4 linked regions of the Arabidopsis thaliana genome follow. The protein of the gene in region 1 interacts with the protein of each later gene in a pairwise test. Each region holds a gene or a part of one and is shown on either strand. Other genes may lie near its edges.

Region 1 (7,055 bases):
CTCACCATGAATCATGGCCGGATCGTTTTATTTGACTCTAAAGAATTATGGAAATCGCAACAAAATGAATATGAGGCTCGGCCGAGGCAAGATGTGGTGATCCGGTAAAGGCATAGTAGTAACCGAAATATTCACGGCATTAGTGTTTAGGATGTTGTTGACAATTCAATAAAGCGTATAACTTTAATTTTGATAGGAAAGGTAAGAAATCCAAATGCAGTGCATGAGTATCAAACTTTTTATTTTGTCTCGATAGTGATCTCATATCTTGAGATTGACCCATATTTAGGTAGGTGTGGAACTTTTAAGTTATTGGACTCAAAAGTGATTGTATAATTTTGCAGAAAATAACATGCATGGATCCATTTATAAGTAAATAAATAAAAATCGTCTAAACTCGTAAGTCGTAACATGTGATATCACATGATTTGTATTGACTACGGCAACTTGCTAATTTCAACGACAAATTATTTATACACTATTATAGTTTTTGAGTTTATTAGACCATTATAAAATGTATTCTCGTTATGGGATGTAATCACAAGTATTTTGTGATTTACGGGATATTTCGGAGAAAGGCTTGGCTAAGAAAATGGCAATTGCATTGAAAAAAATCTCAACACTTAAATCTAGCTAGTAAGCAAATTATTTCTTCTCGGATTCTTTTTCTGATTCGTTTAAAACAGTGAGGTGGTTGACAGATAATTTCCTATCTAAATGACCTTCAATTCGCACCGAAATGGTCAAATGGACATATGAAACTCTACTGTACGTTTGACCCAAATTTGTTCTCTCTCTCACACACACGCATAAACATTGTGGCATAGGTTCTATTGACTTATCATTATCAACCAAGTGGTTAGGCAGAGTTGGAGACAAGCGGCAGAAAACAAGGCACCATTTACCAACTCGAAAAGTATAATTAAGATTGCTCACGTTTTGAGTCGTTTAACTTACGATAAAATCATAGTCAGTTATTACATATACATGACGATTTAACAAAACGCACATTTTCTCTAATTATAAATATATAACATCATAGTCATTTTTTATTATTTTTTGTAAATTGTAAACTCATCATAGTCAAATTTAGTTGCAACTTTTTTACCAAAAGTAAAAAAAAAAATTAGTTGCAACTTCGCCCATAAGCACCTTTCATGCAATAAAAGACATGCTGATTTCATTGCAAAAATGAGATTTAGCTAGTTCACTAATGAATTCAAAGTGTTAACAAATATGAGCTATTTAGCCCTTTATAGTTGAAATGTATAATCTTATACTAATTAGATTAAGTTGAGTGTTTTACTCGCAATTGAGCGGGTCTAGAGGCTAGTTTTAATTCTTTAGTGAACACTGATCAATAAGACAAATGGCATGGTCTTACTTTCACCTAAACCAACTAACTTATAATACTTTGTTTAATTAGACCCTTATTTTAAAGTATTAGCTACATTTTTTAAGTTTATTTGGTCGAGTGGACCTTCCAACATCCGTCTCTTAGGATTCTCAATTATTTTGTTTTGTCTCACATTGTGTTACGTGTAAATCTTATGGAAAGAAGCAAAGGAAAATAATAGATTTCATTATTTAATTGATGTAACAAACAATATTACTTCTTCACAAAAAAAAAACAATATTACAGAGTCTATATATTTTGTACAGAAACAAAACAATACAACTATACAAGCAAAAAGTAGCATCCTTTTGTTGTCTTAACGATAATACATATACATCCATGAAGGCAACATTAAGAACTGAGGCAACATACAGAAAGTAAAAACTTCTACTTTTTTTACTTTATATATTGTAGAAACATTAACTATATATGCCTCTTTATTAAAGTATGGATACATAGTAATATTTAAAACACGATCCATGCATGCCTTGACATAATATAAGCAACTAGAGAGTTTATCGATGCCTCAAGCTTTGTACCTTGGTGATATTGTTGTCTACTCAACCTTATGCTTCATTGATCCAACCAAGTTCCATTTTAACTCTTATCATAAAGTTTTTTGGACGTATTTAGCTTTGATTTATTTGTTAATTCATAAGTTTTAACGTTTAAACCATTTCTTTAATTACTTCTACCTCCGAACCAAGTTATTGTTATTCATATCACATTAGAAATTCACTTCTAGTTCTAATACTTTTCTTTTTTTTTGCCAATAGTGATGTTCAACACAAAAACATGTTTTTATGTCTGTTTCACTCAATCATGGAGTGGACCAGTTTTGATATCCCGGTTTGCTATATTGTGCGGTTTATATTAACGAATTTTGTTTTTTAAAACTATAAACCATTTAAAAGAAGTTCTTTTCGTCAATAAAATATCTAACTTTATATTATCCAACCAAATATATGAATTATCTCAAAATTCTTCTATCCTTTGCATCATTCAATTATTTTAATAAAACATACAAAATATGAAATTGTCAGTAATAATTTTTTCTGGTTTGCTTAGTTACTCTTCCATGAAGACGTACATTGGAAAAAAGAAAGTTAGGTTCACTGAACTAATAGTCACGTGTTGCATTCATTGCACGGGAGTTTTTTTTTTATCCCGGCGGCCATCACCACGTCAGCATATCCGGCGTTCTTCCGACAAGAGTGAGACCAATATGTCGGAGAAAGCCCTGATGACGAACTTGTGTGTGTCGGCTGGATTTAAAGAGAGATAAGTGAGTAGCAGTTCATCCAAGAAATCGTAACCGTCGTTCGGATCACGACTAAGTTCTCCGGCGTCGATGGCGGCGTCAATCATCTCTTGCATGGATCGCCGGAAGTCAGTTAACGGATCCGGTGAGTCCACGTGTTGAGTTACGGCGGTTCCTCCGCTTATAAGCCTCGTAGTAGTAGTAGTCACGGAATTATCATAAACCTTCTTTTTCTTCTTCTTTGTCGACGTGATAGTGGCATCATCGTAATTATCAGAGAATTCTCTTGACCGGGGTTCTGGTGAGTCGGTGATTGCATTGGACCGACCAGGGGAAGAGAAGAAGAAGCGACGGGAAGCAAAAGCGGCGGATACATCAGGAGAGATATCAGATTCATATGATGACGTGGATGAGGAGGAGGTGGCGGCCGGAGTGGTTGTGGTGGAGGAAGAAGGTAAGTCAATGACACGATGGGGGTGGTGGTGGTTGTCATTGTGGTAAAGGAGGTTGAAGTTATTGAGAAGAACGATGGAGGGACGGTTAGGTTGGATGATACCGTCGGGATCGGCGGAGGACGGAGGAATACACGGCGAAGAATAGCATTTGGTGAGATTTGACGGGAAGCAAAGATGGAGGCTTTTCCACAAGATTTTTGGCATTTTTAAGAGAGAGAGAGAGAGAAGAATTAAGAGAATAAATGTCTCGAGCAAATGGATATGTTGGCTTATTTTGTAACATATATATACACAAATGTCTCATTACGTTTATAAAAGGGTACTTATGTAATTTACAAATTTCTATATACTAATGTTGCCAAAAATTTTTTTTTTATAAATGAATAAGTGAATTACTATCAATTTTCTGATTTATCTCATTTTCAAGAATCGTTATGTAGCTACCGAGAGTCTCAATGTTGACTATGTGTTCACCAATCACCACATGCACTTGTGTTGCGACTTGCAAAACAAAGTAATGGTACTTGTTACTATTGACTAAATGCAGTTATTAGGATCCTTAATTTTCATCTATATTGATGAAACGTTTACAAAACATATATTCCCTAAAGGGTATTGTACTTTCGAGTGAATCTGAATATCAGATATTTACTTTTTTAGCGTTTTTCTTTCTTTTGGTTTGATACTTTCTAATTTTGTAATTATTCACTTTCTTTCTGAAACACTGACGTACAAAGCTGAATTCAACATGGGGAGGTCTTTCTTTATACGTGAATGATAGTATTTATAAATTTTGGTTTATTCATATAACCTTATAGTTTGTCAGAGTTACAAAAACTGCAAAACATGAAGAATGAGTGTCCTTGCAATTACAGAATAGAGAGAGCTCACGAGGAGGTAAATTCATCCACCACCTAGATTGGTCCACTCATCATGACGTAAAGCCAAAAGACGTTAGTTCAAGTACGAATACTTCCCTAGTGTGGTCCTGGTTTTTGGTCCACCGGTCCGATTCACAAGGTCAGGTCGAGTTTTCACTGGTCCGACCAAGCAGGTCATTCGGTCAATATTTGTTTTGTTAATCAAGTCCTAAAGATATTTTAGCCACCAGTGACTATAACTAAGTCTGGCTATTTTTGTACATGTAGAATCAAGTAATAACTAATAAGGAGTTAAGGACTAACGATCAGTTATGACTTGCTGTTGCTGGTAATTTGGCGGGTGAGAATAGACAATGGATAGAAGCAAGTTAAAAATGGAAATGAAGCATCCAATATAATAAGTATTTTGGAAGCATGTTTTTGTGAATTATCTCATTATGATTTGGTTATAGAGACTAATGTGAAGTCGTGTTGGTGAAAGGTTTGAAACTTGTTGTGTTTCATATATTCAATAGTTTAGCGACTATTTTTGCTTGTAGCCTATATATTTTCAGGGTTATCCCTCGTTACTGGTAAAGATCGTATCGGATAACACTCGAAATGCACAGCTGAGCTATCATCGTGCCAAGGCTAGGGTGGACCGGTGGTACCACTTCGCGTAGTTATCCGGCACCAGAAAAAAAAAAAAAGATTCGAACTCATCTTTCATATGGATAAATTTATGTGGGCCACAACAGAAAATATAGCTATCATCATACTTTGTTGTTACATAAGCTACTCATGATTCGTCCGCCAATATTCCATCACCAAATAAGAACCACAAAAGCGGCGACTGATGGATCATAAGATTTTAGATTATGGTAAGTTGTAGAATGTTTGTAATGCCTTCACACCATTATGCCTCTTGCCATGTTGGGGGTATGGACAACAACTTAGCCCCACAAATTGATGCCCTATTTTGTTTAGACTGGAATTTTGAAACACATTTTTCTCTATTTTGCTATTTTTGGGGTCATCAGTCTACACATGGATGTTGCAAATGACCACCAATTCGGTTCACTTCAGGTTGGGTTTAATTACGACCCGACTATGATCTAGCCAACCATAATTTAGCCTCGATATCTGAGGTTTAGGTCTGATTCGACCAAGCTTTATAGCAATACAAGTCAACCGGAAGTTAGAAATGATACGTTTGATGAGTTCAATCCGGGTTGAACCGGGTGAGTTTATATGACCAAAACAACTCTTCACAATAAATGAATAAAATATCTCGAGTTGTGAATGTATGGTTGTTCTTAGTTGGGTCTCTATCGTCCTCTCTCTCTATTATAACTATCCCAATCTCTTCGGTGTTGTAATAGAGACATGGGAACTACTAGACAAGGAAAAGCTCATAAATTCGATACATCCAACATTCAAAGCACATGACACGAACTTTGAGGCGTAAGCTGTCACAAGTTAACATCAAACCTAGACATATAGATTTTATTTCAACAAACTGATTATTTATACAATACTTTTATTTCATTCTATAAGTAGTGATACCACATATTTCAGGTTCAAGGCTCATGATCGACTTGCTACCTCTAATCCGTTTCCTGCAAAATTTGACGACAGAATCTGTAAGTTGAAACAGACAGGATCGCTGAAAGATAATCCTAGAACACATGTTCCGGATCGATAGACCAAAGTACTAAAGCATCAATGCATATAAATATATAATACACAAGAACTGTAATTTGCAAATGCTTGTGCTGAATAAGAAAAGTAGACATATATCTGACCAAGTTATAATAGTTATTAAGCCGGCTTAAGAGCAAAACAGAGATTAATTACCATCAGGATCAAAGAAGAAAACTTGCTTGACTTTTCCATCAGGAAGAGACTTCTGAAAAGTTTCTATCCCTTTCTCCTACATCATAACAAGGACGAGAAAGGATCGATTAAATAACTCTGAAAGATACCAATCATATCCATAACTGTACCATCAAAAGCTCATGTAAACAAGCCAAAGAAACAATACCTTGAGAGAATGAAGGAAAGAGTCGAAATTTGGGACAGAGAAACAGATATGATGACCCATTGGGAGATGGCTAGGATCCTTAACCGCTGAGGTAGCACTGTAAGGACCTTCTGGAAGATTTGTTGAAGGGTTTCTCTGGATAATATGCATTGCAAAAGCACCTGGTAAGTTTAGCCACACCACCTGTAGGTCTCCAAAATCAGGACTTTCGATCTCCTCGAACCCAAACACCTGACAATTATACATATATAATCCATTGGTTTCAGAACAAACCACGAAGATGAAGATAACACTAACTTAATCAAAAGGATTAAAGGCATCCAAAAGTGGACACTCTCAATAGAAACTAGAAACGAGATAAGTGACAAGAGAAAGAGACAAAGCCACAATAGCAACACAAATCTCTAAATAAAAAGCCAAATTACAAACCATAGATTCTAATCCAGATGGGTAATCGACTCAGTGCGTTTGTTTTTTTGGGTCGAAATTGGTAGTAACAACACAAACCCAGAACAGAGAATACGAAGAGAGATAAGAAAAAGAAAAGTGTAAGAAATTGAAAACGTCGATTAGGTGTCGTTACCTCTTTGTAAAACTGGGCGAGGCGTGTGATGTCTGATGATTCTCTGGCTATATGGCCAAGACTCGCCATGTTTGGTTCCAAGCGGACAAAGCTAATCAAGAAGAACAACTCAGAAACAAAAATGGTCGACAAAAAAGAGATTAGTAAAAGTACGTGGCATCGGCTCCTTATAACACATCTTTAATCAAACCATAAGGTTGAACCGATCGGTTTGACTATCAGTGAAACTAAAACCAACTTTAAAAAAAAGAATTATTATACGTAATTGCAGTTACTCCAAGAAAAATTAATCTGTTGCTTAATCTGAATATCCGACCAATCAGAAATGTTCGGACCCCGACCAAACAATGTATCCGGTTTAAAACATCCGGTCCGGTATTAAACCCTTATTGCTCCGTAATCTCTCACCTCCACCAATTCCTCATTCTTCCAATCGCACTTCCTTTACCAGATCAG
Region 2 (9,551 bases), on another chromosome or scaffold:
ATACTAATAAATGTCAACAAGATGACATAAAAATCTAGAAATGTGGTGGCAAGGTAAGCAACAAATTGATATAAGATGGATGGCATGTCCATTGTCAAGCAGTTGCATGATTTTAGTGGTCAGAACTCAGAAGTCAACATTTTTCTTAATTTTGTTTTTGTTTATATTTCAAATCAAGAGCAACATTAGATTAAGTAAAAGTTTGCTTGTATGTTTAGCCTATCAATTTAAATTTTCATATCTCTAACCATCAATAATGTTTTCTGTAGATGCTTTAGTTGATTAATCACCATTCCAAAATTCTTTCAAAAACAGGAGTAGTAATACAAAACAAATCAATTGAGTGATTAATCACCTTCACATTTCCCCAATTAGCATGCATTCCATGTTTGTGGTTTAATTAACCTAGAAGCCAATCGATTTTATAATGAATTAGTGTTAGAAAACGTTTCTAATGAAAAATGAAAGTAAAAACAAACTAAATATAGACCAATCACTGAAATAAAAAGAACATAACAAAAGCCAAACTCCAACCACACGTACATGCTTCTATATTTCACCGATAACAATTCAATAAAGAAGTCTACCTCATAGACATCTCTTTACATTTCAATTCCGTTTCCATATTTTACAAACAATATTTCTTTCACAAATCGATACGAGTCTCGTGAAATACACAATGTCTTCGGTTATAAATGTTCTCTTCGTCGTCCTAGTCTTTGTCCCGTCTATATACTCGGCACCACCACCAAATTTAACAAAAGATTATTACCAAAAAACATGTCCCGATTTCAATAAAATCGTACGTGAAACCGTTACACCAAAGCAAGGCCAGCAGCCAACGACAGCTGCTGGAACACTCCGTCTCTTTTTCCATGATTGTTTCATGGAAGGATGTGATGCTTCCGTCCTTATCGCTACAAATTCTTTCAACAAAGCCGAACGTGACGATGACCTCAACGAGTCGCTTCCGGGAGATGCATTCGACATTGTGACTCGCATCAAAACCGCTCTTGAATTGTCTTGTCCCGGGGTGGTGTCCTGCGCAGACATCCTGGCTCAGGCCACACGTGACCTTGTCACAATGGTTGGTGGGCCTTTCTATGAAGTCAAACTGGGCCGTAAAGATGGTTTTGAGTCAAAAGCCCATAAAGTCAAAGGAAATTTACCTTTAGCGAACCAATCCGTCCCCGACATGTTATCGATATTCAAGAAGAATGGTTTCACTCTAAAGGAGCTGGTTGCGTTAAGTGGCGGGCACACAATCGGATTCTCACACTGCAAAGAATTCAGCAACCGGATATTCCCGAAGGTTGATCCAGAACTCAACGCGAAATTCGCAGGAGTTCTTAAAGATCTATGCAAGAATTTCGAAACCAATAAGACGATGGCAGCATTTCTCGATCCGGTGACACCGGGAAAATTCGATAATATGTATTTCAAGAACTTGAAACGAGGTCTTGGACTGTTAGCTTCCGACCATATATTGTTTAAAGATCCTAGCACGAGACCGTTTGTAGAATTATATGCGAATAATCAGACGGCTTTCTTCGAGGATTTTGCACGTGCCATGGAGAAACTAGGCAGGGTTGGTGTTAAAGGCGAAAAAGATGGAGAAGTGAGACGTAGATGTGATCACTTCAACAAGCTTAACGTATAAGTAGCATAAACAGAAGAACATCATTGACTTCGATCGGTTTTCTTTGTATTTTTTTTTTAATAAATGTATTTATAAATAAGTAAGTTAATGTAACAATTTTGAGTGCCTAAAATTTACAAATAATCTTTGTTATATAGAGAGCATTAGATCTTACTTTATGGAGGAGAATACAAATTCAAGTTCTTGAGTTATTTCCCCATCATCTTCTTCTTTAAAACAAGTGTCTCCGTTTTAAGTGTTGTTGGCCAAACTTCGACGAATAAAGTCCAAATTGATTATTAAAACGGCTCAACTTGTGATAAGGCCTTTTCGCCGGTAAGTATTTTTCTTCATTTGCCACCATAAGATTATGATATTTGCGTTGTAGCTAGAAATAGCCTCCGATATTTTTACTGTTCAAATATACTTTTTTGCTATATTCATCTAAAGTATTTTTGATTTGACCAATCTAAAATTTTAGTAAAATATACTATATTTAAGTAAGATTATGTAATTACTACGTATTTTCATTATCATCATCGTATGCTTCATGTGTCTAAAGCTCTTGTTAAGGTTACCAATAAAAAGAATCTTCGTATGGTTGGTTAGTTTTCTTAACATTTGGAATTATGGATAGATTGTAATGTATTTCGTTTTATTCTCTTTTTTGGCTTTACTCAAAATGAATAATTAGAAGAAAAAATTAGTGAAAGTCTTCGTCGGGTCAACGTCACAAGTGTCAGACACGTGTCAGAGAACCATGTGTTAAGAAGTAAAGCAGTCCGATTTAGACACGTGGATGAGTCATAGCTTTGCATCGCTGTAATGATGACCAAATAATTTTATTCCCATTCAAGACAAGAACAAGCATCTCAAATTTATGACCCAAAAAAAAAAGCATCTCAATTTTACAGTACAAAAGGAAAAATGAATAAAGGAAGAAATAAACGTCATTTCATATATATTTTTTCAAAAGCATAAACTTTTAAGTTTGAGATTTATATAATTTTTAACAGATAATATGTATTTTTAGTATATATAAGAAAATTAGGGAGAGAGGTTTGGTGTAGCTAAAGTGAAATCAAGATTGGGAGTTTCAGTCTCTGGTCTTGTCCCTGTAAGGCTTGACGAATCTGACGACAACCGTTCGTTGCTTGGACATCTTCGATTCTTCCATTCATTCTGACATCATTTTAGAATAAAAGATTATATATTATAAGAATCATCTCATATAACATTTCATATATAGACTGTGTCTTTATTTTCAGTTTGCTTTCTATTTCAAAATTTCCAATTAAACTATTTTGAAGATTTAAAGACAATCAAATCTAGTGAATTGGGTTCTGAAAATAAAGTATCATAGATATCAACTCTCCAAAACAAAGTCTTTAATTTCTCTGCTTTTGAGACAAAATCAAAAGAAGAAAAACACTTTTTTACCCAAATGGAAGAGAAAAAAAGTAACTTATAATCCTTTATAAAAACTTTTTTTTTCTTTTTTTTCAGCCTCGAATTTTGCAAGTCCCGTTTTATTCCAATGCCCTTTTGGTTAAATTTTTGAAATCTGTTACCTCATTGGATGAAATGTCTACACCTGATGATGCCTTTGCCTTCAACTGGAACCGAGCTTCACTGTTTATACAGATTCAAATTATATCACATTGATTTTTTGAAGGAACAAAAAAGAATAATATAATGCTAATGATTTTGGCTCAACTAACATAATATTATATATATTAAGTTTCTCATATGATGCAAATATAGAAAGTTGCCTAATAAGTATATACATATCTGTCCAACAAATACTAAATTCTACTTAGGCAAATATTAAAACATAACATACCTTGAGGAGTTATTCCATAGACCCGTGAGATTTCTTGCTTCTCTCTCACTGTTTACTTGTGATCCATTCTCACAATCTGACTGCCCTATACACACACGTTTATCAGATGTATAGTATTTAACAGATAATTTAATTAAATCAAATACATAATCAATCAAATAACCTGATGACGTTGTAGGTTTTTCAGTAGACTTGATGGTTCGATACATCTGAAACATTATAGATTAGATTACTAATATTATATATAAGTGCTAGTTATAAGAATAATTAATAGTTATATCGATCAATACATACACATGAATTATATATAATGTGTGTGTGATGTTCGTGTGTTTAGACTTGTTCCATTCAGGCATTCACGTGTGTGTATATAAGGCTATAACCTAGATATGCACGCACACAGAGACAGAGATGGATAAAGTAAGAAAAAAAGAGATCAAAGTAAAACAGAAAGCATTTACGATTCATGAAAATGTGCAGCCATACACAGAGATGGGAGATGTGCATGGGTCTACGTGCCTTATTCTGACTATAGTCAAATTATGCAAAACAGCAACTTATATATTTGTTATCATTGAAGAATCATGCATATACATATATGTGTGCATATCAATCTAAATATCATCATTGAAGAATGATGTCTCCTTTGTACTTTTACTTTTCTACTGCATCTCTAGTAATAAAAGGACTCTTTCTCTTACTCTTTGTCTATATCTTGCTTTTGATTCCTTCTCTTTTTATCTTTTTTCTTTCTTCACTTTGTATATAATTTCTTTATATATATATATATATATATATATATATATATATATATATATATATATGGGGGCGACCAAAAGTTTAACCATGTCCAAATTAATCACAATTTTTCTTTTAGCCATTTCATAAAAAAGTGCAGTGGGTTTGGTTCATTTGCATATTCAAATCCATAATACAATAAATTCATTTATTTACCTATACATTATGTACCTGTAACTTAAGAAGATTACCTGTAGATGGGATTTAACATGAGCCAATGTGAGATCTTGCACATCCATCAGCTCAAGTACTGATTTTGGGGTTGCTCCTGGATATTAATCATAATTACTAAGTCAATAAAAATAGAATTTTTGATCAAGCCTATTCATTATTCTTTTTGTTAAAAATGAAAAAGAGATATAAATTCAATTAAATAAAAAGGGGTAATAGTGAAAAAGGACAATACTTTCATGACCACCCAATAATTGAACAGCGTGTACAAAATGGGCGTGGAGGGTCGTCGTCCACCGCATCCTTGGAGCCCTTACTCCTCTTTTGGCGGTGAATCTTGGCGGCTGCGGTTGAGCTTGACGCCGATGACGGTTGTGGAGATTAAAACTACAATTAGGGTTTGTGATTAAGCGACGACTAGCATGTTGACCGTTGACTTCACTGAAGAAGAAAGGATTGGGAGAGGTAGATGAGTAGTAGTAGTGGTCAAGGACTTGATTCTGGTAAAGAGGGATTCCTCTTATTGGTCTCATCATAAAAATAGATCTCAAGTCTTGATCGAGAGATTCCTTGTGTTCTTGATTACTATTAATCTTGGTGGCTTCATTGTTTGAAGTGAACTGGAGAGTGTGGATGAGATTATTTGAAGACTTGTTGTCTAAATCTGAGGCTTTACTCTGAAACCCTAATCTCCTTTCGACTTCTTGTTCTTGTAGTTCTTGACTTTCTTTTTCTTGTTCTTCTTCTCTTCTTCGGCTGATCTTCAAGTACAAGTCAGGTTGTGAAGGGAAAAGCTCCATAAGAAGAGAGAATTGGTGAATGATTTTGAGATAATCTTGATGAATTTTATGGGAAAAAGGAGGGGTATAATGTTATTTATTTCAAAAAGTTTTTTTTTTCTTCTTCTTAACTTAATGAATTTTTGTTCTTGGTGAGAAGAGAAAAGCAGTTGTAAAGAATTAGAGAGAGAAAAATAGGGATGGCAAAAGGTATGAGGGAAATGAGAAGTCTCTTTCTTCTCTGTTCCCTTTGAGAAAATGACACTTTAAGAGTCTAATAAAGGGGTTGGGTGAAACATGAATTTCCATTTAATTTTTCCTTTCCCTTTTCTTCATATGTAAAGGAAAATACCAATTTATATGGCATATTTTGTTACAATGTAGATATCATCTATCACATATCAGTATTTAATGATGGTATAATAAAACAATAATGTATGGAATTATTCGATTATTTGTGTTCAGATTTACATGTGAAAATGACACTTGTGTTGAAACTGAAAGATGCGTGTGTGTATATGTTTTTTTTTCCTGATAATATCATTGTAGAAAATTTAAAATAAGAATCAAAGGCTGATATTTTCTTAGAAAACAAAAAAGGAACAACCATAGCTACTTGTTTAGTTGTTGATAAAATGCTACTATATATAAAAAATACACCTGCATGAAATTTAAGAGATGAAGATACATTAAAACCAAAACTGAAGTCTCGTCGTCACTTGTTGTTTGTCTTGTTTATTGGTTTAATTCTTTGTCCTCCTTGAAATCGGAGTTTGGAATTATACCGAACATTACGAACTTGGTGGCTGGGTGCCTAAGAATAAATTGAATATGATATTGCGTCTAATTAATACCTGAAAAAGCTTTTCTTTTTCCTTCTATATATTGTTTGTGGAGAAAGTGATTTTGTTTACGTGATAAGATAAAATTTAAGGAAAATAAGAAATGGGAAAAGAATAATATCACATTGACAGTGAGATATCACCTTAAAATATATATTGTATATAGTTTCGATTATGTTTATTAGTAATTTTCAAAACAAGTTAACATTAAAGGTTTTTTATTCCACGAAGCATTAACTTCATTTCCATCAAAATACTATACGACATTAATTTAATTTTGGCCCTAGTGACACCGATAGACAGTCCAAGATTTGATTCCCAAAACGCCCTTTGATAATTCATGTCCCCTAAGCCCATACATCGACAGATAATGTTGGGGACGATCCTTAGATTCATTTGTTTTTTTTTATATTTTTCACATATTTGATTAAACTAAGAAAATCTGAATCCAAAAATAGGTTTCCGTAAAAGTCGAACCTTTTTCCAGTTTTAGTTCCGGCAGCACGAGGAACGATATAAGACAAACGGAAAGGAATTTTTATGGAAAATCGATAGAGAAAATAAGATTAAAGAATATAATTTAATTTACTTGATTGGAGGCACTACCAACCGACGATGCATAAGACAAAGTTAGAAGCTCAAAAACATTACTAGGTTAGGAGATAAAATCTTATTCTTTTTTAACCGAATCATTAAATAAATCGTATTAATCGAATCTTATTTGTTTTTCAGCAATCCGCGATTAACTATCATCACTAGTACTTGAGTTTTGTAGCAATGAATCTTATTTGTTCTTCTCGTCGTCACATACAAACAAGAAACTAATCATGATAAGTTCTGAGGGGTCGGACTTAAGTGACGAATAAATAGGAGAAATATCAAAAACTATTGAAAATTTATAGTGGTCAAATAGAGAACAAAGGTTCCCATCAATTTGAGTAAGTTACTCCGACACGGGGACGTAAGAGTGAAACCTAGTGAAAAGCATGCTGTCCACTTCACTTAGTGTAAAATTGTAAGACCTTTCAGGGCACACAGTTTGTTGTATATTTTAGATTTTTATTTCGTAAGGTTATCCGTATATACGAATCAATTTCCTACATATATATATATATATATATATATATTTCCTTCATAATGTGATGAAAAAGAGAAGTACAATAGGAAAAAGATTGATTGAAAAATGAAAAAGTAGAAGCACACTTAATAAAGGAGTAGAGGAGAAAGATTTGGAGTTTATAGAATAATTGCCCCCACGAATCTTTTTTTGGGAGATATTTTAAGCAAATCTTAACTTTGGGGAATTTGATAAGAACCCACATTTCTATTCGGACAAAAGAGTTGCTTGCAAACTTTAAGTCGAAAAATTATTTATCTGGTATTAAAAGAAATGAATTAAAATCTACAAGGGAAAAAAAAGAAAAACCTAATCTTAGCTAGCTGGTTATACGTGTGTCATGTAATAAAATGAAACTATTTGACTAAGTTCATATTGGGTGGGACTGGTATCACTGGACTGTAAGGAATTTGTTTTTAATAATAATATTGTTATGGTAGAGGAATTCTTATTTTTTTAGTAGATTGGTGTGTTATTGGTTTGATAATTTTTTAAGATTAGGATTATACGATGCAAGTTGAATTATTGAATTTGTTTTGTCAATTGTAAGAAATGACAATAATTTACGCATCTAAATGCTGTGGGGAAGATATAAGCTTTTTGTACAGTAATAATGGTTACTTACTATTCCATCAACTATTAAAAATCATGTAAAGAATAAAGACCTACCACTTTCATTGTTTGCTAGCTAGTATATATATATTTATGGTTAGTAAAGTAATAGAAAATCAGTACAAAGACAAAATTTAAGGAAATGAATTAAGAGTTCTTGGTTTTGGTGCATGTGGAAATATTTGAGGTTAAGACTGTTTACTGTTGGAAATTTTAAGCAAACAAGACATAATCAATCATTGTTTTAATTTGGGATGTAAAAACAATTTTTTTAATGCCTAAGAACAACCTTTTGTTAGTGTGTGTATGTATATATGGATACATATTATTTAATAAATCATTTTCTATTGTGTGTGAACGAACATATAACTCAAAACATAAAAATACTAAGATTTACTAATTCTTGTTTGATTAGTATAACAAAATTCACGAAATTATATTAATATGCACATATGTGTTTTTTTTCACAAAAAGTTTATTGGGCCACAAAATCTAGCCACAAATGAATCGCATTGGCCAAGTTTCTACTTGATCGAACAACTAAAAAAGCTTAGGGTCACTAAACATTTTATTACTTTTGGGAATCAGATATCTCTGGAAATCTCATAGAGGTTTGTCTACTTAGAAGTTTTTAATTGCCTAAAATTCGTTGTCATAAAGAATGGGGCTGAAGAAGATGTGTAAATAAATATATAAAATTATGTTTCAGAGAAAAACTCCCGAGTCCTCGCATCCTCTTCATATAGTCCTATTTATTCGTTTAGGACCATTGACCTTCTTCTTCAAGAATACCTCTACCATAGTCAACACAAACCTACAAATGCAGAAGGAGATAATTAAGATGGTTAATAACAATTTGTTTCTTCAAAAGCCCGATGTTTATAAAAATTCATAAATGGACAAACTCGACAATTGTACATTGGGTTGTGGAGGCCCAATTAAGGCCCATATATGAATCTGCAGTTTAATGGCATATAGCGTGGAGGAAACGTAATAGATTATTAAACCTTTATAGGCATCAGGCGTCAACCGATTGCTTCCGCCAAGCAAAGCAAAAGTTGAGAAATTTAGTGATGGAGGAGTACGAGTTTTTGGTCCGAGTGAGGGAGGCTGGGGTAATTCTTTCATCTTCTTGGTTTTTAGTTTGATGTCTCTCTGAATTTATCCACAAACCTAACCCTAACCCTATTTCAGTAATTTGTGTTCAATTTGGATTTATAATCGCCTCTAGTGTTGCTTGGATATATGACCGAAACTCTAACTCAAGTTTCTGTATGCTAATAATGTGTGTCAGGGGTTCGACATCGAGCATTTAATGGACACAAAACCATCCTCTTGTGTGATCGGTTGTCGCGAGTTTGATAATAATGATGATTACAACGCCCATATTGTCCTTTTTGCTAGGATGGGGATCCATAAGTACAATATGATACAGGTGAAAAACTTGTCTCCTCTTGTGTATATATGTTCTTCTTCTTCTTGCAATCGAGTGATTCCCTTAATCAATTCTTGTTGATATATATGTATGTCAGGGGACGAACTTGCAGCTCAGTTGCGTAGAGAAATACAATTATCGATCTCCAAGAGTATATTCCGCCTTCTATATAACCTTGATTGCTAAGGATCCAGATGCATGCAATTCCCTTGTGACTTTTCAGACAAGGGTTGTTGAAGAAGGCTTTAACATGACGAAACTGTCTTGCAATATCGCTAGACCTAAGCCCGGACCACAAGGTAAAGGTCTTGGCAC
Region 3 (8,821 bases), 4.0 Mb from region 1:
GACTGTGTTACCTGTATCTTTCAGGCATCTTATTCTTCCAGAAAAATACCCACCACCTACAGAGCTACTGGATTTGCAGCCCCTCCCGGTGATGGCCCTAAGAAATCCTTCTTATGAAACTCTTTATCAGGATTTCAAGCATTTCAATCCAGTGCAGACTCAGGTCTTTACTGTTTTGTATAACACAAGTGACAATGTAGTGGTTGCTGCTCCAACAGGAAGTGGGAAGACTATATGTGCGGAGTTTGCTATATTAAGGAATCATCTCGAAGGACCTGATTCTGCAATGCGTGTTGTCTATATAGCACCTCTTGAGGCTATTGCCAAGGAGCAGTTTCGTGATTGGGAGAAAAAGTTCGGAAAGGGGCTTGGTTTACGGGTTGTTGAGTTAACTGGGGAGACATTATTGGATCTTAAGTTGCTTGAGAAAGGTCAGATAATCATAAGTACTCCTGAGAAATGGGACGCTCTGTCCCGGAGGTGGAAACAGAGAAAATATATCCAGCAGGTTAGTTTGTTTATCGTTGACGAGCTTCATTTAATTGGGGGTCAAGGTGGTCAAGTGTTGGAGGTAATTGTCTCTAGAATGAGATATATTTCAAGTCAGGTTGGGAATAAAATCAGGATTGTTGCATTATCAACTTCCCTTGCAAATGCCAAAGATCTTGGAGAGTGGATTGGGGCCAGTTCATGTGGCGTTTTTAACTTCCCGCCTAATGTTCGTCCTGTCCCACTGGAGATCCACATTCATGGGGTGGACATATTGAGTTTTGAAGCCAGGATGCAGGCGATGACTAAGCCAACATACACTGCCATAGTACAGCATGCCAAGAACAAGAAACCAGCTATCGTTTTTGTCCCGACCCGTAAACATGTCCGCCTTACTGCTGTGGATCTGATAGCATACTCGCACATGGACAACATGAAGAGCCCTGATTTCCTTTTAGGGAATCTGGAAGAATTAGAGCCTTTTTTAATACAAATTTGTGAGGAAACTCTGAAGGAGACTTTACGCCATGGCATTGGCTACCTGCACGAGGGTTTAAGCAATCTGGATCAGGAGATTGTGACTCAGCTTTTTGAAGCTGGACGGATTCAGGTATGTGTAATGTCTAGTTCATTGTGTTGGGGTACTCCATTGAAGGCACATTTGGTTGTTGTAATGGGAACACATTTCTACGATGGACGGGAAAATTCTCATTCGGATTACCCCATCTCTAATCTGCTCCAAATGATGGGGCGTGGTAGCCGACCTCTGCTTGACGACGCTGGGAAGTGTGTGATCTTCTGTCATGCACCACGTAAAGAGTATTACAAGAAATTTTTGTATGAAGCTCTTCCGGTTGAGAGTCATCTTCAACATTTCTTGCATGATAATTTCAATGCAGAAGTAGTTGCTAGAGTTATAGAGAACAAACAAGATGCTGTGGATTATCTTACCTGGAGCTTCATGTACAGGAGGCTTCCCCAGAACCCTAACTACTACAATCTCCTGGGAGTGAGCCACAGACATTTATCTGATCACCTCTCAGAGCTCGTTGAAAACACTTTGTCTGATCTTGAAGTGAGTAAATGCATTGAAATAGACAATGAGTTGGATCTCTCTCCTCTCAATCTTGGTATGATTGCGTCATATTACTACATAAATTACACCACCATTGAGCGATTCAGTTCTCTCTTGGCTTCCAAGACCAAGATGAAGGGTCTTCTTGAGATCTTGACTTCAGCTTCGGAGTATGACTTGATTCCTATACGTCCTGGTGAAGAGGACGCAGTTCGGAGACTCATCAATCACCAGAGGTTCTCTTTTCAAAACCCAAGATGCACAGACCCTCGTGTGAAGACAAGCGCACTTCTTCAGGCGCATTTCTCAAGGCAAAAAATCAGCGGGAACCTTGTAATGGATCAGTGTGAGGTCCTTTTATCAGCAACAAGGCTTCTTCAAGCAATGGTCGATGTGATATCGAGCAATGGCTGTCTGAATCTTGCTCTTTTAGCTATGGAAGTAAGCCAGATGGTGACTCAAGGCATGTGGGATCGAGACTCCATGCTTCTGCAGCTTCCTCACTTCACAAAGGACTTAGCCAAAAGGTGCCATGAGAATCCGGGGAATAACATTGAAACCATATTTGATCTTGTGGAAATGGAAGATGACAAACGCCAAGAGCTTCTCCAAATGTCAGACGCTCAGCTTCTTGACATTGCCAGATTCTGCAACCGCTTCCCCAACATTGACCTTACATATGAGATTGTGGGAAGTAACGAGGTAAGCCCTGGAAAAGATATCACATTGCAGGTATTACTGGAGAGAGACATGGAGGGAAGGACCGAGGTGGGACCTGTGGACGCGCCAAGATATCCTAAGACTAAAGAAGAAGGTTGGTGGCTAGTCGTTGGAGAAGCCAAGACGAACCAGTTGATGGCCATCAAGAGAATCTCCCTGCAACGGAAGGCGCAGGTGAAGCTGGAGTTTGCAGTACCAACTGAAACAGGAGAGAAGTCGTATACACTCTACTTCATGTGCGATTCTTACTTGGGTTGTGACCAGGAGTATTCTTTCACTGTTGATGTCAAAGATTCTGATGCCGCAGATCACATGGAAGAATGATTTATGTTTTCTGGTTAGTTTTCGCGTCTTTCTTTGTTTTCTGGTCATAATTTTCGCATTTAGCTACTGTGGTCGATCTTACCTTTTGTAATATCAACATTTGCTTACTAGATTCTGCATCGTAGCTGGAGTTTGCAGTACCAACTGAACCAGGAGAGAAGTCGTATACACTCTACTTCATGTGTGATTCTTACTTTGGTTGTGACCAGGAGTAGTCTTACTGGTGATATCAAAGATTCTGACGCTGCAGATCACATGGAAGAATAATTTATGTTTTCTGCTTAGTTTTCGAGTCTTTCTTTGTTCTTCTGGTCATAATTTTCGCATTTAGCTACCGTAGTTGATCTTACCTTTTGTAGTACAACATTTGATTAGTAGATTCTGCATTGTAATAATGAAATAAGAACAAATCGAGTACTATTTTATTACTTAGAATTTTGTTGGAAGCAGATGCTTTTCTCGAGAGCTTACATAGACAATTTGGTCTGTTTCGGCTAAAAAATATTCAGACATGACATTGTTTCTTTCTTGTCCTTCTCCCTGCTTTTTAGTCCTATCTACTACACACTTTGTTGCGCCCTATATTGACTTCTTCTCCTTGTTCATACACTTACAGTTAGCTCTGTTGTCGTTTAAAATCTGTGTAAAACCAACAGAAGACTAAATCAATTCAACAGAAGACTAAACAGGCCCCTTTGTTTTTTTTCCACAATGATCAGGAACTTTACCTTATACTGTCTTTGTAAATCTTTGATGTAATCCACAGCTAAATCCAACATATCCGAAGTGTTGGTTTGCTGTTAAAACATAAAGAAAACAACATCATTTAACAATTTGTTTATGATCAAAAGTCATTACAAGGAAGTTCCTGAAAACTGTACCTTGTCCATGTTAGGAACAAGCTCTTGTAACTTCCTCATTCGCTCGCTTATCCGCGTTCTTCTTACCTGACACAATTGACAAGATTTCTTAGGAAAGGCTTTCTGAAAACAAACTAGATTCTGCTTCAAATGGACTTCCATTGATATATGTAAAGATGGCCTTAACTAGGTGAAGTTACCCGTTCAGCGATGCTTCGAGGATGTGTAGCGCAACCACGTTTGGCTCTGATTTTACAAGGAACAGAATCTTGTAGCTGAAGATACTTATCCACTGAAACCATGTCCGAGGCTGTCGATGATGACTTTGGTAGGCTCAAATGATGCGACAGTAACTGCATACGATTCCCGGACTCTCCGTTCTGTAGAAACCCATCAAAAACATCATTAGAAACCACTCCAAGAAATCAACTCCACTTTCAGCTACTGATCAATAACCAAAACAAACCGGTTAGATAACCGAGTTACCTGAGCTCCGAGAAACAATTTTCCATCGTCCTCGGCTTCTCTTTTAAGTGAGGATAAGTTATCAATAAAGCTGGATGGATCATTCCAATGGCTATATGGAAAATTAGTTTCGGGTGCGATTTCAGGTATTTGAGAAAGCATTCCAAGTGAAGAAGGTGGCCTTGAAGAGAGACTGCAATGGCGTCTTAATCCATTGGAATTAGATGGACTCTCTTCATCTTCTTCGTAATTCATCAAATTCCTCATTGAACCATAACCTGCAAATTTGTAAGTATATAGTAAACACTTATTAGATTTGTTGAGTCCAAAGTGCTTTAACTCTATGGTTGACAAAATCAAATCAGATCTTGTCTTAAAATTATTCTCAAGGAACGTAAAACATTCAAAAATCTTGAAGCAAGTGTTAAAACATTCAAAAAAGTTGAATCAAGAAGTACCAAAAACACTTCTGTTATAAATGAAAAAAATATTTCAGACTAAAAAAAGGGGGAAAAACTTTGTAGCAGAGAGCAAAACGGTACCGTTTTGGTCAGAGAGATTAGTAAACATTCCGGCTGGAGAGCTGCTTTGACGGAGAAGATTAGATTCAACTGGTTTGGTGTGATGATTATTGATACCGAGAAACTGATCCAAACCAACCGAGTTCATTATCCCTTTACTCTGCCTCGGGTAATGCGGCGGCAAACCCAGAAAACTCGACGGCTCAAGCTGCGGCGGTGGCGGCAGAGTGGCGGCGTATGAAACAGAGGTGTTCGTTAACGAAACCGGAGACTTATCCTCGAATTTAGGTGAACCCAGATCTCCGTTAACGCCATTAGAGGTCACGAATCTTGAAAGCAACCTATCGGAGTCGAAACCAATCTTGTCGTCGTCAACAAAAGCGGCGAGAACAGAGCTCGGAGCTGATCTAAAACGAAGAAGACCCGACCCGGTGGGATTCGGGTCGTAGAGATGATTATTTGAATCCATTAATCGAATCAATATGTAAAAAAAATGCAACGAAATTTCCTCTGTTTTCTCTTCTTGTAAGCTCTGTCTCGTGACGTTTCAGGAAGAACAAATTTGTAGAAAACCAAATCTTAATAGCTTTCCAACGTCAACCGTTGATATGAATATAAGCTTTTTCTTCTCCCTTGTTAAGTTCTTGTTTGTGTCACTTTTCCCGGGAAAACAAAACTTGAGCTTGAGATGTGAGCAGGTGTAGGATTTGGGAAATATAAAACCTTGAAGGGGAAGTAAAGGAGGTTTCGTCTGAAGATGAAGAAGAGAGAAAGAAGAACGGTGAAGTCTGATGAGAGGAAGAGAGAGATGAAGGTGATGATGAATATTTATCGTCTTTTTGCTTCTGAGTTTCTGCGTCCAACTTTAATTGCTGAAGATAGCGGCGGATCCAAAAGCTTTTTTACCAAAAATTTATTAAAATTGAAAAAGACGTCGTTTTAAGCCGCCTGTGAGGCTGAGTCACGGAAAATGCCTTTTCATATTTTTTTTCAAGAACAATTTTACTACTATTTCTTAAGAATATGAATTTTTCTATATAAAATGTAATTGAGAAAAGAGTAGATTTTAGATGAAAATACATACTTTATACTTGTATACAGGAAGAGCATGTGAAGTAAATTACCTACCTAATCAATTTTGACGAGTATACTGATGGACCCGTGACAAATTATTATTTCTCATCTTATAATCTACATGTATCCATAATATCATTTTATTACGATTCTTGTTTTTTTCTTTGTCTCTGTAAAATATGTGATGTTTCTACCCTAATTTATAACACACGAACAAAAATATCTGTATGTTGGGGACAATGAAATCGCTGGTAGGCCATACGATTACAATTTACAACAAGATGCACCAATCATAAATATTAGTTTCTTTTTTTTTATTGGGTCGGTAGTTTAACAACCAATGTAACAATTTAACACTAGATTCGAAATTTAACGACGTAAGGAAATAATTTTAATACGTTTTAGGGGACATGGATCTAATATGTCATGGTTACGTTACTTCAAATTTGTTTTGTTTAAGTACTCATTATTCAGGAACCAATAATGATGTTAGAGTACTTCATTCATAGTCAGCAATTGTACTGACAAAATCTAATATCCATTCGCATGGTACAACTTAGAATTTAAGAATTAAAGATTGTCCCATCAGAGTATAAAAGTCAGAAGTTAGATGTTAATATAGTTAGACACGAAAACGTACTTGAAATAGAAAGAAAGAAAATTGTCGGAAGTACAGTTTGTTTGTAATAAAAGAGAGATCAAAACTGTTTGAACTTTTTAACCAATATTTACGTACGTACGTAGCTTTCCAAATCCGATTTTAAGGTTCACGGAACCTATACAGTGTACAGCTTACGACACGATCGTGACGGAGGACGTTGACGCCGTTATCACCCATTGGGAACGTAAGTTGGCGACTACTATAATCTGTGTGACATACGGTACACCTGCATGAAAAAGTAAGATTTGAAACTAAACTCTAAAACCTTAGTGGTCGATGGATTATACAGTGACGTGACTCTATGTGAACGATATACACCAGATTACGTCTCCTCTAAATCTCTTTAAATCTTATCTTAGTTTAAACTTTAATAATTCACGAGCGCCGTCTTTTTAAAATCTAAATCCAATAAAGCGACTTGTTCTCTATGGAGTTTTTAGCTATTCAGCCCTTTAATGGAAATTGATTAATTTTTATATTTTCAAAAACCTATTCGTATCGTATCAGTCTGAATTTTTAGCTTTTAGTACAATGTAAGAATTGAAAAAAGAAACCGAACCATTGAGAAGATTGGGGTGGTGAATTTGCTTTGAATGTGAATTTATTCTCTATGGAGTTATTAGCTGTTTCATTCCCTTTTTTATATGGGGACTACGGTTTATGTGCCTGAGGCTCTATATATATTGCATATAGATTGATGACATTGACATAGGCTAAGCTACATAGTCTTAAAACTTCGAGCTGTTTAATAATTAATCAACAAGAAGACAAAATTGTATGTACAAAGCACATGCACATACATAATACTATTACTATTTAAGCATAGGTAATTAATATTTAAAAGTTGTACATACTATCTCGAAACTAGCTATATACTGATGATACTTTGTTTTATATCACTAACGAATGGGCAAACATAAAAAATATAACTCAAAACTACATTGATCTAATTCAACTGAATCAAAATTTCGTATCACCGTGCAATGAAAAGTATGTTTAATCATACGTAACAAATGTTTTTGTTCAAATCAAACCAGTATTTCTTCAAAGGAATCCATATATACCAATATATGATTAGTTATCTATAACAACTATTTTCCAAATCATCACACACAAGTTTTCTCAAGTGCTCTCACTTCAATGCAGGTCATAATCTCTTAGTTTTTTTTTTTTTTGTAAAGACGTGCATAAAACAAACTCTTCATTGCTGAAGTTCTTTTTCGAAGAAAATCAGTGGTCTCAACAATTTTCTTCTAAATGCAATGGATACAACGGGAAAAACACCCAAAAAAAAAAGAAAAAAAAAAAGAGATTGAAATTAAAGAAGCAAATATCAAGTGCCATTTATAAAGGTTTGGCCTAAAGAAATGTGGAAAATTAGAAAGCAAATCCCGTCCGTGGCTATGTGGATGGGAACATGGACACGTGAGACCCCATTAGTTTCTCAATGTTGTTGTGTACATTTTGTTTTTTATACTGTTTGATAGTAGTATAAATATAAAAAACAAAACGATTCCCATCAATTTATTTAAAAATCTTTTTATGTTCTTAAGAAAAAATAGATTACATTGATAGAAGTGGGGAATCGTGGTCCAGCTTTGGCTTTTATAATGTCAACAAGCTCAAAAAGGGGGCTTCACTATTTTTATTTTCTTCCAAAAAGAAACTTCTATATTAAGCAAGTGTTTCTCTCCTTTTTTATTTAATTTTCTCGAGTGGGCTGCTAAATTTGGAACTAATCAATCGTGCTGGGGGCAAGATATGTTTTGCCATGAAGATCTCTCTCTTTTTGGTTTATAAAAGTCATACTTTTTGTTGTCAATTTGAACAAAGGACCAACGGTGGGATCTGATCATGTTTGATGTTTCTGACAAAAAATTATATTCGAAATAGATTTGATTTTGCCTTTCTTTCTCATTTCTTATGTTATTGCTAACGATCGGTTCAAATTTATTTCATTTCACATCCCCCATGCGCAAGAGATATGCAATCATGCGATTGAGTATAATCTATTTTCCCGTTTTCATAATATTTAATTAGAACAGGCTCACAAAAGAGCTATTGAGTCTCTTTTTTTTTTTTTTGTTAACCATGATCTTTCAAAAAATCTATGCATCTATCAAAATCGAATATAAGTTTTGACCAATGAAAACAAACAATTTAAAATACATGTATAATTTATAAACCCACTTGGTGATATTATATAATTCTTTTGAGTTTTGGAAAGATAGGATCAATCATGCAAATTGCAAGGATTGTCAACATTTTTTCGTATTTTAATCTTTACTTACAAAGCCTGATAAGGTTTGAAACAAGATCTTTATCATAATTTCCTTATTAATATTATCTGTGTAAGATTCTAGAAGGGGCAAATAATTTCACAACCAAACTCTCTTCCTTAAGACACAAGGTACATGTGATGATAAACAGAGACAGACACTTGATCCGGAAATAAACCTTAAACCCTTTTAAACTTGCCATAGAAACTACAAAACTCCACTTAGCCTGAGACTAATACATACACAACTAATTAATCCCGGCTCTTTAAGAAGTGGTTAATTCCTATTTGATCCGACCTAGAATTTCAGACACAGATCTCATCCTAGGACGCATATCTGGATCCATTTCCGTG
Region 4 (8,354 bases), on another chromosome or scaffold:
AAACGCCGTGAACTCGCCGTTCCCAAGTTTGGTTCCGTTAAAAAACACGTCAGCCTCATTTCCTTTCTCGTATATCAAACCGAGTTTACCTTTAACGTTCTGAGATCGCAACTTGATTCTGATCACCGGAGAAAACGGAGAAGATGACGTCAGGTTGATTCCGGTGACGGAGACTCCACTCACGGAGAACTGTGGCTTATGCGGCTGGTAAACGAGGTAGAAGAATCCGAAGGCAATCGCTGCGAGGACGATAATGATGAGTAAAGCAGAGAGGGAATAGCATAAACATCGCCGGCAACACGATTTGTTTGTTTTCCGGCGAGAGAGATACTCGTAACGGTGAGCATTTTCCGGTGGAGGAACACGGTAGATCTGATCCTTAGGGAGTTTGATGACGTAAGTCCCAGGCGGTGGTCCTATTCTTGATTTCTGAGAATCGACGGAGTATCGGCTGGAGGAACTATCGTTGGTATCTAGCGATGGATGCTTTATTCTGTGAACGTCTTTGTTAGTTAGGAATCCGTCGGAGTTTGTATCGCCGGTCATTTCTTGTGGTTTCTCGACCGTCATTTTTCTTGAATCAGAGAAATAATGCGAAGCAGATGAAATGAAGGTTTTGATTTGGTGACAGTAAGGATTTGGAGTAAATCATTTTATTATAAGATAAAGAAAGTGCATATTTGGAGATTAGGACGTGATTGCATGAATATCGTCCAAATATCATTTTGGAGATTCTTTTAATAACAATTATTTAATGAGTATATATTATTTTGTTGATTATCTATTAAATTTTCCATTAGTACAGATGGAGAAAGAAATTGGAGGAACCTTGAATGGAAAGTTTTAATAGAATATACGGAATGTAAAAATTGGTCAATGTAAAACATTTTTGCCAAGAAAAAAAATTGAAGAAGAAAAAAAAAAAAAAAAAAAAAAATATTGAAGAAGAAAATGAATGAAATAAAGTAATAGACAAAAGAGCTTAACTTGACTGAAATGAGAGGATGCAGCCAATCCTAGCATGGAATGGAATAGTGGTAAGAAAAAACCGGTAAGGATTTGATCATTTGAATAAATACAAATTTGTAGATGAGTGATGTGATCATTATATGGGAGACGATATGGGAGGCAATAACAAAGGGCATCTTCAAAATCAGTACAGAACCGACTGGGCTCAAGTCTTGGATTATGTATCGAACCAAAGCAAAGTAGAGCGGAGAGCTATCTGTCTCGCTATGCTCTACAAACCACTGTCTATACAATTTGAAAGGAGAGGAATGGAAGAAGGCACAAAAAGGAACCACATCCGGGGGCTCTTATCACAAAATGGATTTATAAACAAATTTGTATTCATATTTCCACCATTCGAACAAGAGGAGATAGACGGTACGACAAAGCGTATCAAGCATGGATCCTTGCTAGAGTTTAAGCTCCTGAGGTCACCAAACCAAGCTGCTCTTTTACAAGCGTTTTTTTTTTTACTCTTTTAGATCTTTTTAAAATTTATTTTCAAACTCACGAACCACTAAATTGTACAACGAACATTTTTTTTTTGAATATAATTTAACATTAGATTCAAAAAAGTAAATATGATCATTATAGTGAATTATAGCAATACATTGAATTTTTTTCTTTTATAATCAATTGTTTCGATTTTCTTTATTTGTATCAACGGTTGTATTGGAAATATTTATATTTCTTGTAAACTCTTTATAATATAAGTATTTGATTTGCCGAAAAAGGTATAGTTTTATATAGTAAGGTCTTCACATAGTTTTATTTTATGAATTTAATATGCGAAATATCATTTAAATATTTCTGAAATTATTCATATTAACTTTAAAATAGCATATCGTCAAACTTAGTTTATTTGATTTTTCAATTTGAGATTTATATAGAAATACATCTTTTAACCATTAATCTCTTTTAAAGGCACAAAATTAATTTAACACATAAAAAATCTGTTATTTATAGAAAACAATTCCCTATAAAAAGACATAATAAAAAGACATAAATAAAAATATTATCATACCAACAAAGTTTAAATTATTTAATATTAAAAATGTCTACAAACGCCTTCTTCCTTGAAGCCCAAGGCGAACACAAATACACACCTCTAAAGTCTAAACAAATAAAGCATTTTCTACTGTTCTTTTGTCAAAAAGAGAGGCTCTTCAAATCACATAATGAATTACTTTGAATTTGGTTATTAACTTATTATGAAACCTAATCTTCTCCATTGCTACATGGGCTATGAAATGGAGAGATCAAAAACTGTGTTTAATGAGAGAATAAGCAAGAGACAAAGCTATAAAGACTAGAAAACATAAAAAGAAAACTCTGAAGCTTTCTTTACTGAATCCAAGATGTGGGCAACTCTTGCCCTTGATTATGCAGATTGTTCTCTGTTCCTACTGTTTCCTCACCTCCATTGAAGTCAGTAGGTAAGACTAAACCAAGATTCTGATTCAGCGTCGAAGGAGAAGGATTCAAATCCTCAACCAAGTCATCGTTGCCTCTTTGTGGAGCTTTTGGTCTGTAGAGATCGTTGGGATGATTAAACTGGTCTTGAAAGCTCTGAACCTGCTGCTGCATCCCGTTATAATCCGGACAAGGAACCATTAAACCCGTCATACCATAGGGTTTAGTTGGTTGGTAGAAGGAAGTGACTTTATAAGGACAAGTCATTTGGTGATTCTCTCTTAAGTTCCTGTCAAGAAATCCCATATGTGGTTGGCTATAAGGACAGAGACTGTTCTCACATGTTAGGAGTGTTGGATGCATTGGCATCCCAAAATCTTCTTCAAACTTTCTCTTGTAAACACAGTTGTAGTTGTTTTCAAATTCAGGATACTGCTGATTGGTCCGATGAGTGCCACCAATCAGTTCAACATCATAGTCTGTAGATTCAGGAAACAAAACATCTGGGTCTCCACCGGTTGCAGGAACAAGAAAGTTAGAAGTGTTGTTGTTTTCTCTAGACATGGCTATTTGATCAACAATAGCCTTTTCTCGGTAAAGAGCAGCGAGCCATAAAGCGCCTTCTCTTGACGTCATTTTCTCCTGCAAACTTCTAGACCGTCTCACGAGATTGGGTATGTTGCTAATGTCAGAAGCCATATGTCTGATTACACCAATCAAAACACCAATTTTCCACAGCTTCTTGAGATCATGAGGCTTCTTGTAAGGTGGCGGAACACCTCGAAAATCAACGGGTAAAGACAGTTGATCCCACCAATCTTCTTTCCCCGTTGGCCACCATGGCGGTGTCACGCCTTTCTCCAACGGAAACCGCCTCTGAGGAGGGTTGCAGTGAGGAAACAGAGCCGATAACAGAGCTCCAAGAGTAGTATCTTGAAGCTCAAGCAACTTCTGTGCGGTAGAATCCCCAACCTCAGACCCTGAATCACTTCCATCAGAAAGATTGATATCCCTTTGGTGCTTGATTATAGCAGCTGGGCCGTTCCTATCAAACCTCACTTTGTCTTTCCACCATTCACGGAGATTATCAGAAGATCCCGCTACCGTTTTCCCATTCTCTAACACAATCCCATAAACAAAACCTTGAGCTTTATATCGCTCCATTGTCTTCGACATGTACTTCAAGATCCCATCTTGTGCCTTGTACATGGTTCTCTTACTAGAGTGCTCTGGAAAATCATCATGTTGCTGCTTCAACAACAATCTTGTTCCTAGACCGTTCTTCGCCATTTCCTTGAGCCGCTTTAAACGCTGCTTGTCTCTCCAGATCTTCTTCTCAAGCTCCTCTATTTCCATTTCCTCATCACTACTCAGATCATCGCACAAAGCCGTATGCGAATCAGAACACATATGTCCCTCTGTAAATGGAGGCGCCGAGCTACAAACTAAACTCCGGAACATCCCTATATTGTTGTTATACATATCCATAGAATCTGCAAATAATGTCATCAACTATGATTCACTTTAAGAATAAAATTGCATAATCATCGTCATTTAGTAATGCCGTATTTATCAAAATCTAAATTAAAACTCTCTAGCAATAACATAACACAAAAGAAAAAAACAGAGACTTTTAGTGAAAGATCGAGAGATCTAACTTGTGAAATAAGATTCATCATATGAATAACACAAAGATTTAGAGATCCAAATTCCATTAGTTATTACTCCCAAGGGATTGAATAAATACTATAGGAAAACTACTACCAAAGAGATTAAGTACATAATATAGGAGAAATATTTAGAGAAGGTAAAAGAAAATCACAAACAAGATTAATGGTTTATCATCAAATGATTATACAGTAAAAGCATCGATCTTTTTCTTTCTTTTGATTCTTATCAAAGCATATAACGACAAAACAATCCAGTCCGTATTACTACTGAAATACTTGATCTTGCAAAAGTGAAAATGGAACCCATCGGACAAAATATCAGATAGACCAAACCCAACAAGTCAAAAAACAATATTTGCAAGCAGACAATATACGTAAAAGCAAAACAAAACAAAAACAAAAATAAAGAGAAATCGAAGGAAGAAGAGAATATACCCAGAAAACTCTTGAGACCTTTGTGTTGCTTCGGCCACCAAATTCAAACCAAAGAAGCTATTGGGACCTTCAGAGAGAGAGAAGAGATAGAGACATGTATGTATGTATGTTTGTGTATCTATATATATTATGAGCATTAAATAAGAAGAGACTGCGAAAGGGTGGTGATAATAGGCCTGTAAAAACCATGCTAAACGACACATTTCTTTGTGTAAGGATATGGTAAAAATTTCTTATTTATCTCCTTTGAGTTTCATTCCATTTCTAGTTCAGATTCTTTATTTAAATATATAGTCACTTCTTTTAAAAAAAAGAAAAATTAACATGCCCATAAAATGGTTATTTCTGCCTAAATTATTTTTTGTTTGATAGCCTAAAATTATTAATATCAATATAAAAAATATAATCATGTCTACTATAAGAAAAATATCAAATGTAGATGTATGCTTAAGCGGGAAAAATATAACCCCTAAACATAAAGCGAGTATTTTTGAAAACAAATAGGAATCAAGTACCAAATATAGACATTTTCTAAGGCACGTAAATTTACTATTTTAATGGTATAAAATCGTAGCATGTAATTTTTTTTTTATAAAATATTTAAATAATAGCTTTAAATTAATTGGTGCGTATGTTTGAATTTTAAAATTTGTTAATGCATTTAATTTCATGGGGAGCTGTATCTAAATATATCGGTCTAGATAAACAAATAGTAAAACAGTAAGTAGTTCCGTACGATCTATTTATACTTTAAAAAAAACAAAATACAACCTATTTATACTAATTTACTTGTATTAGTTTTATCAATTAGTTTTTACAATGGAATTTAAATGAGATTCTTGTAGTTCTACCAAGTCCTGAATACTAAAAACTTATCATGCCCAAAGACTTACAAAATAATTACTCTCTTTGTATCAAAATAAAAACGTTTAAATTTTTCCATATTAAGAAATTAATGATTTTCTTTATTTTACTAAATCAAAAGATATTTTATGATTTATCTAATCACAGTCCAACCAATAAAAATAAAGTAAAAAATGCACATTGTCATAAAATATATAGAAATTATTACATTTTGCTTTGAAAATGTAAACAAATCACATAATATGATATAGAAAAAAATATCATAGTTTTAAATACAAAAGCTGGCAGAGTATGAAAGAAAAGGGAAAAAATGTTGCCAGTACTCACTAATTAATTCTGATACATATATGATAATGCTAAAAAAACAAAATTATTGAAGAATTCCTTAAAATAGCTCAGAATTGTGGCGCTTTCAATTTCTTACAAAATACCAAATTTCCATGATTTTTGTTTAAACATTTAAAAGCATACAATTTGACATTCTTTAGAATAGAATAAAAATACTTAGTTTACCATTTTTGTTTTTGCATTATATTAGTATATGCTAGATATAAGAGCCTTTTAAATTGCACAAGCTCATAGCATTAAAATTGAAAAGTTTCATATAGGTAAGTATTTTGTATTAAGAATTGTGAATTTTGTATTCTCTATGAATTTATGATATCTTATATATACTAATATACATTCAATCCCTTTGGATACTGGCTCTAAATATTTGACCAACAGATTGGTTTCTAGTATTACTGTCTATATATATTTCCCCATTTTCCTTTAAGCATTCCATAAATGTATTTTTAATATAAAATTAGTAGTTAACAATGTTTTTTATTTTAATAATTTTCTATTTATCCAGACCATCTCAAGAAGCCAAAATTTAAAGATGATAATATGGTGTTTTAAAATCTATTTAAAACAATCCTTTGTAGCTTATTGTATTGTTTTCTATGCTGAATTGTAAACTGTGTCATATAATTGAAGATATTATTTTTTCTTTAGACAAACAAATATATAACCTTCTAAATCACATTGTCTATATATCCAATGGACGATTATGATTCTTATGTAAATCGATCAACATTTTTCACAGTGATATTTGTAATGCACGACTCAAAAAATAAAATAAAACTCTCATCAAATATTCGTTTTTCGATTTTAAAACTCTCCCATTAAAAGATAGGTATTTGAGATTTCGTAATCTTGGCGCCATACTATAAATTGTCGGGTTTCTCATTGCAAAATGTTATATAAACTACTTAATAAATCATGAAATGTTGACCTTTAATTATGATGATATATTATCTATAACTGTTTGTATAACGGTCAACGTGTGGGTAATGAAACAGGTAATACTTTCGTTTTATTTTATTTTGGTTATCCTTTAGAAATGTCAACTAGTTATCTAAATATCATATTTGATTTTAAGTTCAAATGAGATACGGTATATAGTACAACTATATATTATAGGGTATAAAACCTATTTCAAATCAAAGAAAAACAATACCAGCATGATGTTTTTAGTATTTATTTCTTAATATGATAATATAATGTTTTCTTAGAGAAAATGTAGAAGAGGTGCAATGAATATAACCAAATAGCCAATAGGAAAGTAAACAAGTGCCACGAAGGCACGTTTCGTCGCCAGCAATGATTCTTTAAAATGTCTGAAACGTGTCTCCCGGGATTTTTTTGTCGGCTACTCCACAATTATTGGAACTCTCGTCGTTTTCCTATAAGTAATGTTTTATTAATATAGTATGTGAAAATATGCAACTATCTATCGTACACATTAACCAATTAACGACCACTCGTAAACTGTTTTTAACGTCCTTGCTTTGGCCTATATGCCTTATAGTGCCCATGTCTCTCGAATGGTCGGTCGCCAAAATTATTCAAACTCAAATCGTGTTGAAAATTCGTCAACTCATAGTCATAGAGGCTTTTATTATCTTCTTATAAGTACACTTAAAACACATTTGACATAGATTGTCACTTATTATTCAAACCGTAAAATGTCCATAACCATTAATTATATCTCAATATACTACTAGACTATGCACAGTTTCAAGAGTTTTGCGTGCTAGTAGGGCTTGAGATGTAACTAGCAACTATTACAATCATGAATCCTCTAAAAGTAAATTCCGATGAATTTATACCTGCTTCAAGGTAAATGATACGGATGAGAACAAACGGAGTTATCTTGACACCATCAACAATAGAAGGGTATTCCCACAAAGATTGATCCCCAGCCTCCTTCCTCGAAAGATACCATAAAGGATTTATGCAGCATATAAGGTATGTAGCGTTTAAAACTAAGTGACAAAAACACATTAGCAAGGCATAAAAATGTAAAGTCATGAAGATATGTAAAACATATTGTGGCCGAACTAAGCCTAGAGAATCAAATGCAAAACGATGAAGAAGCAGGCCTAGACATTAATTAGTTCAACCTAAGTCCTATGCACATGTCAACGGAAGTAGCAACACGTGGCTGTCCTATGAAGGTCCATGATCTTGATCTTTCATTTGCATCCATATTCCCAATGTCGAAAGTTTGAGGTTGTAGCCATGGGTAGTGTTTTTGCTTCCATTGAGCTCATGATACTAGCAGTTTCTTTGCATTGTAGATATTGGGATCATTTGGTTAGTTTGAATCTCACTACATTGTCTTCAGTTTCTACCTATTCAAGGACAACCTATTTCTTAACTTCTTTAGGAGATAGAGTGTGAATGTCTGTCAGGTGTACACAGCTCCAAACGAATGCGGGTGAGGATTTTGAGATTATGTAATTGTGTCATCACGGTGCCCTGATTACAGTAGTGGGAATTGGGTTATAGTCTTCTAAAGCAGTCCGAGAGGGCGCAATGGATATTCGTGTTCTATCATTTTATATGCAAGGATGCAAACAATAAAAAGTTAAGACAAGTGAGATGAGTAGCAAATAGCTAACCAAACTCAATAATGTT

The links.
Region 2: the proteins of OFP16 (region 1) and KAN3 interact in a two-hybrid assay, tested with the Arabidopsis thaliana proteins (one large-scale study listed by BioGRID).
Region 3: the proteins of OFP16 (region 1) and FBH4 interact in a two-hybrid assay, tested with the Arabidopsis thaliana proteins (one large-scale study listed by BioGRID).
Region 4: the proteins of OFP16 (region 1) and EIL2 interact in a two-hybrid assay, tested with the Arabidopsis thaliana proteins (one large-scale study listed by BioGRID).

The regions. Positions count from the first base shown.
Region 1 is NC_003071.7:13,644,113-13,651,167, reverse strand, and holds OFP16 (ovate family protein 16), read right to left. Parts: upstream 3,470-7,055; 5' UTR 3,317-3,469; coding exon 2,582-3,316; 3' UTR 2,166-2,581; downstream 1-2,165. Other genes in the region: AT2G32090 (Lactoylglutathione lyase / glyoxalase I family protein), read right to left, coding at 5,560-5,591, 5,830-5,905, 6,017-6,247, 6,600-6,668.
Region 2 is NC_003075.7:9,845,448-9,854,998, forward strand, and holds KAN3 (Homeodomain-like superfamily protein), read right to left. Parts: upstream 5,481-9,551; 5' UTR 5,252-5,480; coding exon 4,687-5,251; intron 4,549-4,686; coding exon 4,472-4,548; intron 3,692-4,471; coding exon 3,646-3,691; intron 3,568-3,645; coding exon 3,483-3,567; intron 3,272-3,482; coding exon 3,211-3,271; intron 2,822-3,210; coding exon 2,687-2,821; 3' UTR 2,486-2,686; downstream 1-2,485. Other genes in the region: AT4G17690 (Peroxidase superfamily protein), read left to right, coding at 680-1,660; AT4G17700 (uncharacterized protein), read left to right, coding at 8,875-8,916, 9,096-9,236, 9,334-9,535. UniProt on the Arabidopsis thaliana protein: Probable transcription factor that regulates lateral organ polarity. Plays a role in lateral root formation and development.
Region 3 is NC_003071.7:17,608,241-17,617,061, forward strand, and holds FBH4 (basic helix-loop-helix (bHLH) DNA-binding superfamily protein), read right to left. Parts: upstream 5,352-8,821; 5' UTR 4,924-5,351; coding exon 4,476-4,923; intron 4,212-4,475; coding exon 3,955-4,211; intron 3,849-3,954; coding exon 3,669-3,848; coding exon of another isoform or gene 3,651-3,668; exon of another isoform or gene 3,556-3,650; coding exon 3,490-3,555; intron 3,406-3,489; coding exon 3,274-3,405; downstream 1-3,273. Other genes in the region: AT2G42270 (U5 small nuclear ribonucleoprotein helicase), read left to right, coding at 1-2,608; AT2G42290 (Leucine-rich repeat protein kinase family protein), read right to left, coding at 8,752-8,821.
Region 4 is NC_003076.8:7,178,184-7,186,537, reverse strand, and holds EIL2 (ETHYLENE-INSENSITIVE3-like 2), read right to left. Parts: upstream 3,950-8,354; 5' UTR 3,931-3,949; coding exon 2,353-3,930; 3' UTR 2,196-2,352; downstream 1-2,195. Other genes in the region: AT5G21130 (Late embryogenesis abundant (LEA) hydroxyproline-rich glycoprotein family), read right to left, coding at 1-570; AT5G21125 (uncharacterized protein), read left to right, coding at 1,110-1,490. UniProt on the Arabidopsis thaliana protein: Probable transcription factor acting as a positive regulator in the ethylene response pathway. Could bind the primary ethylene response element present in the ETHYLENE-RESPONSE-FACTOR1 promoter.